2 linked regions of the Caenorhabditis elegans genome follow. The protein of the gene in region 1 interacts with the protein of each later gene in a pairwise test. Each region holds a gene or a part of one and is shown in the gene's direction. Other genes may lie near its edges.

Region 1 (3,683 bases):
ATTCTCAAAGACGAACTTATTGCGAAAAGAGAACCACGATCTAAAATTATGTTATCTGTAAGTATTATTGTTGTTTTTTGTATATCTGAATGATTTTCAGCCGAAATCGAAAGAAAATGAAGTGAGCAGATTGATTTCTGATTTGAATCTGATTGAGAATCAAATCGATGAACTTTTTAATTCAAGTTTGCCAATAAATTATGGAGATTGGAGAACACTTTCAGAAATAATTCAGATGAAGCCATACTTAAAAGTTTCAAAAATTCCAAATTTGAAATTGATACGAAATCAGTAAGAAATCCACTTTACTTCATTTTTAAATCTTATTTTTAGAATGAATGCTGAACTAGCTGGATATGCACATAACGGTAGTCTTGCTATGGTTGAATATGCAAAAATGCTCGATTTCTTTCCAAAAATATCAAAAGAGACTGCCATAAAATTGGTTAAGCATGGATTATTCATGTGTGGATCACTATCGTTCAGTCGTAGATCAATTCAAAAGTACAACTCCGATATCTTACGTTTTACTGATGGCTCTGTGGCAGGAAAACCAAAAACTAATTGGAATGGAGTAATGTTGGATCATAGAAGAATAGCCCAGAAAACATTACATTCAATTCTTCGTGTGAAATTGGATTATGTAGAGTATTTATTTCTCAAAGCGATTACGATGTGTAATCCAGGTGGGTAAAATATTTCTTGAGCTCAATTACTAGAGTCAAATTTAAGCTGTCTCCGATTTTCCTGCTGAAGATCAGAAAATAATCGATAAACACAGATTTAATTATGCACAAAGCCTTCTCAATTATTGTTTGAAACAACATGGACAGATTCACGGTGCTGATCGATTTGCATCAATACTATCAATTATGTCAATTATGGAAGTGCAGCAAAAAGAAGAGAAAAGTTGTTTTTTCGTTTTCCGTTCAATTTATTCTGAATTTGATGTTTTTGTCAGTCCTTTATTCGATGAAATTTCTAATTATTAAAATAATTTTTCTATTAAATTGTTTTTGTTGAACTTTCATTTTTATACCAAATGCAACTTGTGTTTAGTTGTACATTTATTGAATATTTGTTCGTTGGCTTTTGAAGGACATTAAATAGAAAATAAAAGCTTGTGATTAAATCACTGAGAAAGGAGTAGTTGCATGTACTGTGTGTCCTCTTGTCTCTCCGATTTTTTGTCCTTTGAAAACATGTTAGACGGATCCTTAAAAGTTTGTTTTTTTGGCAATTGGCTATTTCAGACAACAATTGAGCTCATAACTAAGCCGAATTCAACCGAAAAATAAACTGATTGTGCCCAAATGAAACATTTCCCGCCATTCAGCGTCGATTGTTGATAAAATATATTAGGAAGAAAGTTAGAGACATATATTTTAGTATAATAGTATAAATAAAGATACACTGTCAAAAAGATATTCACTGATTGGAATTGAAATTCTTGGAAAGCATCAATATAGTGTAGTGGAAACAAACACGAGTCAGAAGTACACAAAAGTTGAAAGTATTTCACCGTCATCTTTTCCTTTGTACCTTTTCACCCTCTCACTCTCTCTCCCTTACTTTATGATCTTTGTTGGACGGACGATAATCGGGAAACAGGCAATCTAACGTAATACTATTATACTTTAACTATGGACAAAGATCTAGCTGATATTCTTCCGGATATTGAGGTTAATTATTTGGTTTCTCTGTTTTTTACATTTGTTGAACATTTAGCAAATTATTACAGATAGACCAAAGAAGCCAAGAATCATCATCTTACTCAATTCTAACTTCTACATCGATCAAGTGTCCTAGACATAATCTACCTTCAAAATGTGAAATATGTGGAAATCCAGCAATCGGATATCACTACGATGTTTGTGTTCCAATTTTTCCTAAAGCCTAAAACTTTAGTATGTTTTCAGATCGCATCATGCAATGGATGTAAGGCATTTTTTCGTAGAACTGTTATCACTGGGAGACAAGTTGCATGCAAGAAATGGGGGACATGTTTAGAAGAAGAAATTCCAATAAGTTAGTAATTTACCGTTTTGGCTCACTTGTTGAATACTTTTATAGACCGTAGGATTTGCCCAGGATGTAGATTTTCAAAATGTGTCAAAGTTGGAATGAATCCAAGAGCAATTAGAGCTGAAATCTCATCGAATGGAGAGATACTGAAAAATCAGCTTCTGAAAAATCGAGAAGCTGATAAGTTGGTCATGTTATCTGTAAAAATATGAGTATTGATAAACGAACACCAAAAGTTTTCCAGCCAAAAACAGCGGAAGATGATCTGAGTATATCTATTTCTAAGCTAAGTTTAATAGAAAATAAAATTGACGATCTTTTCAATTCAAAATGGCCATCAAATTATTGTGATTGGCGTACTGTAACGGAAATCCTCAAAGCTCATCCAATTCTTGAAATGTCGAAAATTCCGAACTTGTCTTTTCAACCAAACCAGTGAGTTTTCTTACCTAATTGTTATTGAAATTTTTTTAATCGTTTTAGACTCTTCCCTGATCATGCTGGATTTGCTCATAACGCAAGCCTAGCTGCCTTGGAGTTTACAAAAATGCTTGATATATTTCCAAAATTATCAATTGATACTGTTCAAAAACTTGTCAGACATGGATTATTTATGTGTGGATCAATGATGACGAGCAGAAGATCTATTCAAAAGTTCAATTCAGATACATTACGACGTACAGATGGAACAATTTCTGGAAAACCGGCAAAAAGTTGGAATGGTGTTTGGGTTGATCATAGAAAAATTGTACAAAGAGTTCTACGAGCGTTTCTTCGTATTAAATTGAATGATGTAGAATACTTATTTCTGAAAGTTATAACTATATTAAATCCAGGCCAGTAACATAACATTCTTTGTTTTGCCAATCATTGTTTTCAGCTGTCTCCGATCTTTTTGCTCAAGATCAAAAAATAATTGAACGAGAACGGAACAGATTTGCTCAATGTCTTCTGACTTATTGCTTGAGGGAATATGCAGAAAATAATGGACCATCTAGATTTGCATCAGTATTATCAATAATTTCATCTATGGAACTACAACAAAAGGAAGAAAAAAGCTTTAACATTCTGCTCCGTGCGTCTTTTCCCGATGCAATTGTCTTGGTTAGCCCTTTGTTTGATGAAATTATGTCAGCATAATCAGTTTTTGTTTAATTTCTTTTATTTGATAAAAATAAATACGAATTCATTGTCTCTTGCATATTACACATGTTGTTTTGCAAATTTGTATTATTACTCCTTTTACTGCCGTAGTTTTATTGACACGGAAAGCTACAAAATTTTGTGACTACCGATGACTCAAATCACACAATTCATGGTTATACCAACGCCCTGACTCTCTAACATTTTGATCCTGTTGGTCTCGTACGTAGAGACGCAGAACGCACAAGAAATTTGAAGCGCCACTTGCAACCACATGGGAAGGGAGTACCATCTTTTTGCATATTTTGTGATTACTAATACATAGTAAATCACGAATGACTAGCGAAGAATCAACTAGCGACTATATTTTACCAGATATCGAAGTAAGTTGTTGGAAACTAAGCACGCAATTTTTTAATCGAAGTTTTCCAGATAACAGATGAGGAAACGAAATGCGACCCCAATACAAAAAATATATTACCGAAACAATGTCGCATATGCCGAAATCCAGCTGT
Region 2 (4,852 bases), 6.6 Mb from region 1:
CCAAAAAACAATAAATTCTGCCAAAAACCGCCAAATTTTCAGTTTTTTTGCCGGTTTTTTCTCCAAAAGTAGTCCCAAAACCCCATTTTCTCGAAAATTTTACATTTTTCTCAAATTTTCTATCAGAAAATTCAATTTTCCCGCCAAACCCCCCTACAAATCCCAATCTCCACACATCATTTACAAAAAAAAACGTGTAAAAAATGTGTGGGAGATCAAAAAATAAAAGATTTGGCGGGTTGGGGGATTAACCCTTCAATTTCCGTTTTTTCTAGTCAACTCGCGCGTGTTCATTTAATCCAAAAATCCACTACAACTTTGTGAATTTCGTTAGATTTTCGTTTATTTTTTTGTTGGTTCGAAATATTGATTTTGTCTCGTCATTTAGTCGTATAATTTTAGTACTCAAGTGTAGTTTGTAGTTTGTAGTGAAACTGCCCATGCTGTCCCATTTCGGTTTGATCTACCCCCCAGATCTACAAGAATTGCGGGAATTTAGACGCAGAGTTCTCAAATGATTTTCAAAAACTTGCAGAAATTTCAAATTTCCTATACAAAAATATCTGAAAAACTGATTTTCCTGTAGAAAAACGTCTGAAAAATCGATTTTTATATGTAAAAAATTTCTGAAATTTCGAATTTCCTATATAAAAATCTCTAAACATTTCACATTTCTTATGTAAAAATGTTTGAAAAAGTGATATTCCAGTAGAAAAATGGCAGAAATTTCAAATTTTCTATGTAAAAATGCATGAAATTTCAAACTGTTATGAAAAAATATCCTAAAAATATGATTTTCCAGTATAAAATGTCCTAAATTTCAAATTTTTTGTATAGAAATCTGAAATATTGAATTTCTCATGTGAAAATATCTGAAAAATTGATTTTCTAGCAGAAAATGCCGGAAATTTTGAATTTTTTAGTACAAAAACGTAAAAAATTTGAACTTCCTATATAAAAAATTCTTGAAGTTTCAGATTTCATGTTTAAAAATGTCTAGAAAATTGATTTTCCTGTAAAAAAAACGTTTGAACTTTCAAATTTTCTATGTAAAAATGTCTAAAATTTCCATTTATTCATTTAAAAGTGGCCGAAATCCTGAATTTCACAGTTCAAAATACCGGAAAAATACATTTTTCAGTCGAAACATGTCTCAAATTTTGAATTTTTTTATATAAAAAATTTCTGAAAAAAGTGATTTTCCAGTAGAAAAATGGCAGAAATTCTGAATTTCCTATGTAAAAATTCCTGAAATTTCGAATTTTCAGTGTAAAAATATTTGAAATTTTGAGTTTCCTGTAAAATAATGTCTCAAAATTTGATTTGTCTATATAAAAAATGCCGTAAATTTCCAATTTCCTATGTAAAAATATCTGAAAAGTTGATTTTTCCTATGTAAAATTGTCTGAAATTCATAGATTTTTTCTATAATTTTTTTTTGGAAAAAACAGTTCAAACTACATATTTAAACTTGAAAACATATCAAAAAATATTTACTTTGAACAATAGTTTTTTCCCGAAAATTCCATGTTTTTTTGCAATATTTGCATATTGTTTTCAAGTTTTCTGTAACTTCGAATGTTGTTTTTCTTTAAACTCCCCATTTTTTCCCAGCAATTTCTGCAAAATTTCCAATCTTTTGACCCCAAAAATCATCAAAACACAGACATTTTTTTTTGTTTACTTTCTCCTTTTCTCTCTCAAAACATAATGTTTTCCGCACTTTTGATGTCTGATTTCTCGATTTTCTGGTTTTTTTATTATAATGTTTTTCCTGAAACTTTATGTTTTGGTTCGCATAAAAATGCTATAAAATGGCGTGATTTTATAGTTTTCCAGAGTTTCCGAGTTTCGGAGCGATGCAGTATATTGTGCTGCTCAGCGTTCTGCTCATCGGAGCAAACGCTCAACTTTCAGCGACAAGAGGTAAGTTTTTCCAACCTAAAAGTGTACCTAAACCCCTTTCAGACCAAGAATGCAAAGAAAACGAGAGCTTCCAGACGTGTGGCACGGCTTGCGAGCCGACTTGCGGGCTTCCGACTCCGGTGAGCAGATTTTGTTGTCAAATTCCGGCTTACAACGTGGTTTTTGCAGACTTTTTGCACACTGCAATGCGTCATGGGATGTCAGTGTAACAGTGGATTCTTCCGCAGAACTTCGGATAATCGTTGTGTTGAGCAGAAGGACTGCAATGTTGCGGCGAATGAGACGATTCCAATTCCACCACCAGGTTAGAAGGGGACACAGACTAAAATTTGGGCCGGGCTACGCAGTCTCGGAATCTGAAATTTTGGGTCCGCTAGTACATCAGAGTTTCCAGACAAGGCCCAATCTCTAAGGCCGCACTGGCCCTACAGACAATGGCCCGGAGTTCGAAACGGGTATCTAGACCCAGAGCTTGGGGGTATCAGCCTCCTGACTTTGTGGGCGCCAAGCCCAGAGTTCAAGGGTCCCAGGCCCAGAGTTCGGGGGTACCTGCCCCAAATTTTGGGGATACCGAAAGACTAAATTTTGGGCCGGGCTGCACACGGAGTCCTGGAATCTGATGTTTTGGAGCGCGGGGTCCGCTTGAAAATCAGATCTTCCTGACAAGGCCCATTCTCTAAGGCATCTCAGGCCCTACAGACACTGGCCCGGAGTTCGAAACGGGTATCTAGACCCAGGTACCAGCCCCCAGAGTTCATGGATCTTAGGCCCAGAGTTCAGGGGTGCCAGGCCCAAAGTTCAGAGGTCCCCAGCCCAGAGTTCAGGGATACCAGCTCCACAGTTCAGGGTCCCCAGCCACAGAGTTCATGGGTTCCAGGCCCAGATTTCGTGGGTACCTGGCCCAGAGCTCGGGGACTGCCGGACCCAGAGTTAAAGAATACCAAGCCTTGAGCTCCACGGTAACAAGCCCAGAGCTCCACGGTACCGAGCCCAGATCGTGGGTACCAGTGCCAGACTTCAAGGGTAACAAGCCCAGAGTTAATGGGTCACAGGCCCAGAGTTCATGGGTACCAAGCTCAGAGCTTGGGGTACCGAGCCCAGATCGTGGGTACCAGCGCCAGACTTCAAGGGTGCCAAGCACAAACCTACCAGGCATCCTAAAGCCTCCAAACCAAGACCCCCGACCCCAAACCCCTCTAACCCCCCACCAATTTCCAGCCACCAACCTCACATGCCCAGTCAACGAGGTATCCAACGAGTGCCACAACCCATGCACCGAGAAGAAGTGCCCACAAAAGAATGCTCCACAGGTGAACTGCTTGATGGCCTGCCAAGTCGGATGCTCCTGCATGGACGGATTCGTCAGAAACAACCAAGGAGTGTGTGTCAAGGAGGCCGAGTGCCCAGCGATTGGTAAGTACTCTAAAAATTGGACGAAAAAATGCACCAGAATTGCGCCACCGCACTGCAACTTTCCAGGCTCTCAAACCTGCGGAACCAACGAGGAGCCCAACCAGTGTCACAACGCGTGCTTCGAGAAAAAGTGTCCGGTTAAGCCCCAGCCACTGGTAAACTGTATGGAGAAATGCGACATCGGATGTTCCTGCAAAAAGGGATTCCTCCGGAACCGCCAGGGACAGTGTGTGAACCCTACCGAGTGTCCGGCTACTGGTGGGTACCGTTTTAAAGGAAACTAGTTAGAGCCAGTGATTCTAGGCTCCACACTGACTTGCTCCAAGAATGAGGAGCCCAATGACTGTCACAATTCGTGCTCCGAGGCAAAATGTCCTGTCAATCCACAGCCATTTGTTAGGTGCATGATGAGGTGCGAAAAAGCATGCTCTTGCAAGAAGGGACTCGTTAGGAACCGGCAGGGACAGTGTGTGAAGCTTGCAGAGTGCCCACCGACTGGTTAGTAGGGCTGAAGCCTAGTTCTAGTGGCTTTAGGGGTCTCGAGTGAATTTTCGGGCAAAAAGTCATGTTAAATAGGCTTCTGGCAAAGTTTTGATGAAAATATCTAAGAAAATTGAGCTGAGCTCAGTTTTAGAGAGTTTTAGCAAGTTTGGTGTCTTGAAACGAATTTTTGCGGCATTTTTGACTCCGCTGTTGATTTTTAGAACAATTTTGCGATTATGAGCAGGTTTGCATCAAAATTGATGTAAATCTAGGCCTTTCAACAAAAGTTTTAGTTTTTGGACCAAAATTTCGGTGCAAAAAACGACTTGACCCCTTTTTTCGACAAATCCGGAGCAATTTTCCTATTTTGGGGCAGTTTTGAGCAGAATTTTTTGATTTTCCCCTACAAATGTGGTTTCCAGGCAAGACTGACACAAACCCATGTGCCTTGGTACTCTGCAAGCCCGGTCACCGATGCACCATGTCAACTGGCCAGGCAACTTGTGTGCCAGGTATCATTTTTTCTGTCCGCGGGCGCTGGTTTGGTGCGGTTCTTTGCTAAAATTCTGAGAATTTGGTGTCCTGAAATGGACTTGGATGGAATTTTGACAAATTTGTGGATTTTCGGAACGATTTTCACATTTTGGGACAGTTTTGGACCAATTTTATGGGGATATTGGCTTTTGACATACTTTTTGGCAGTTTTTTGACGAAAACGTTTTTTTGGCACACATTTTGGTTTAACGTGCGAGTTTCAACAAATCTGCCAACTTTCGGCACATTTTTGAATCAATTTTGAAGGTTTGGGGTTGTTTTTGACGCAAAAATCGGGATTTTAGCTTGTTTTCATGCCAAAATCATGATGCAACGACGTAATGACTTGACGCAATCCTGGTGCATACCCTGCGACTCAAAATATACGAATTTTCCGACTCTAACATATAAATTGTTTCCAGGCAGCACTGACGAGAACCCATGCAACTTGGTGGACTGCCGTACCGGTCACCAATGCTCCATGTCAACTGGCAAG

Evidence for each region.
Region 2: the proteins of nhr-208 (region 1) and Y69H2.3 interact in a two-hybrid assay, tested with the Caenorhabditis elegans proteins (one large-scale study listed by BioGRID).

What each region holds. Positions count from the first base shown.
Region 1 is NC_003283.11:12,092,731-12,096,413, forward strand, and holds nhr-208 (Nuclear Hormone Receptor family), read left to right. Parts: upstream 1-1,586; 5' UTR 1,587-1,643; coding exon 1,644-1,682; intron 1,683-1,741; coding exon 1,742-1,870; intron 1,871-1,919; coding exon 1,920-2,028; intron 2,029-2,073; coding exon 2,074-2,225; intron 2,226-2,269; coding exon 2,270-2,460; intron 2,461-2,508; coding exon 2,509-2,861; intron 2,862-2,905; coding exon 2,906-3,165; downstream 3,166-3,683. Other genes in the region: nhr-206 (Nuclear receptor), read left to right, coding at 1-57, 101-291, 334-686, 733-992; nhr-207 (Nuclear receptor), read left to right, coding at 3,504-3,551, 3,601-3,683.
Region 2 is NC_003283.11:18,661,104-18,665,955, reverse strand, and holds the start of Y69H2.3 (Follistatin-like domain-containing protein), read left to right. Parts: upstream 1-1,829; 5' UTR 1,830-1,859; coding exon 1,860-1,926; intron 1,927-1,968; coding exon 1,969-2,045; intron 2,046-2,094; coding exon 2,095-2,230; intron 2,231-3,144; coding exon 3,145-3,339; intron 3,340-3,405; coding exon 3,406-3,597; intron 3,598-3,642; coding exon 3,643-3,837; intron 3,838-4,244; coding exon 4,245-4,334; intron 4,335-4,778; coding exon 4,779-4,852.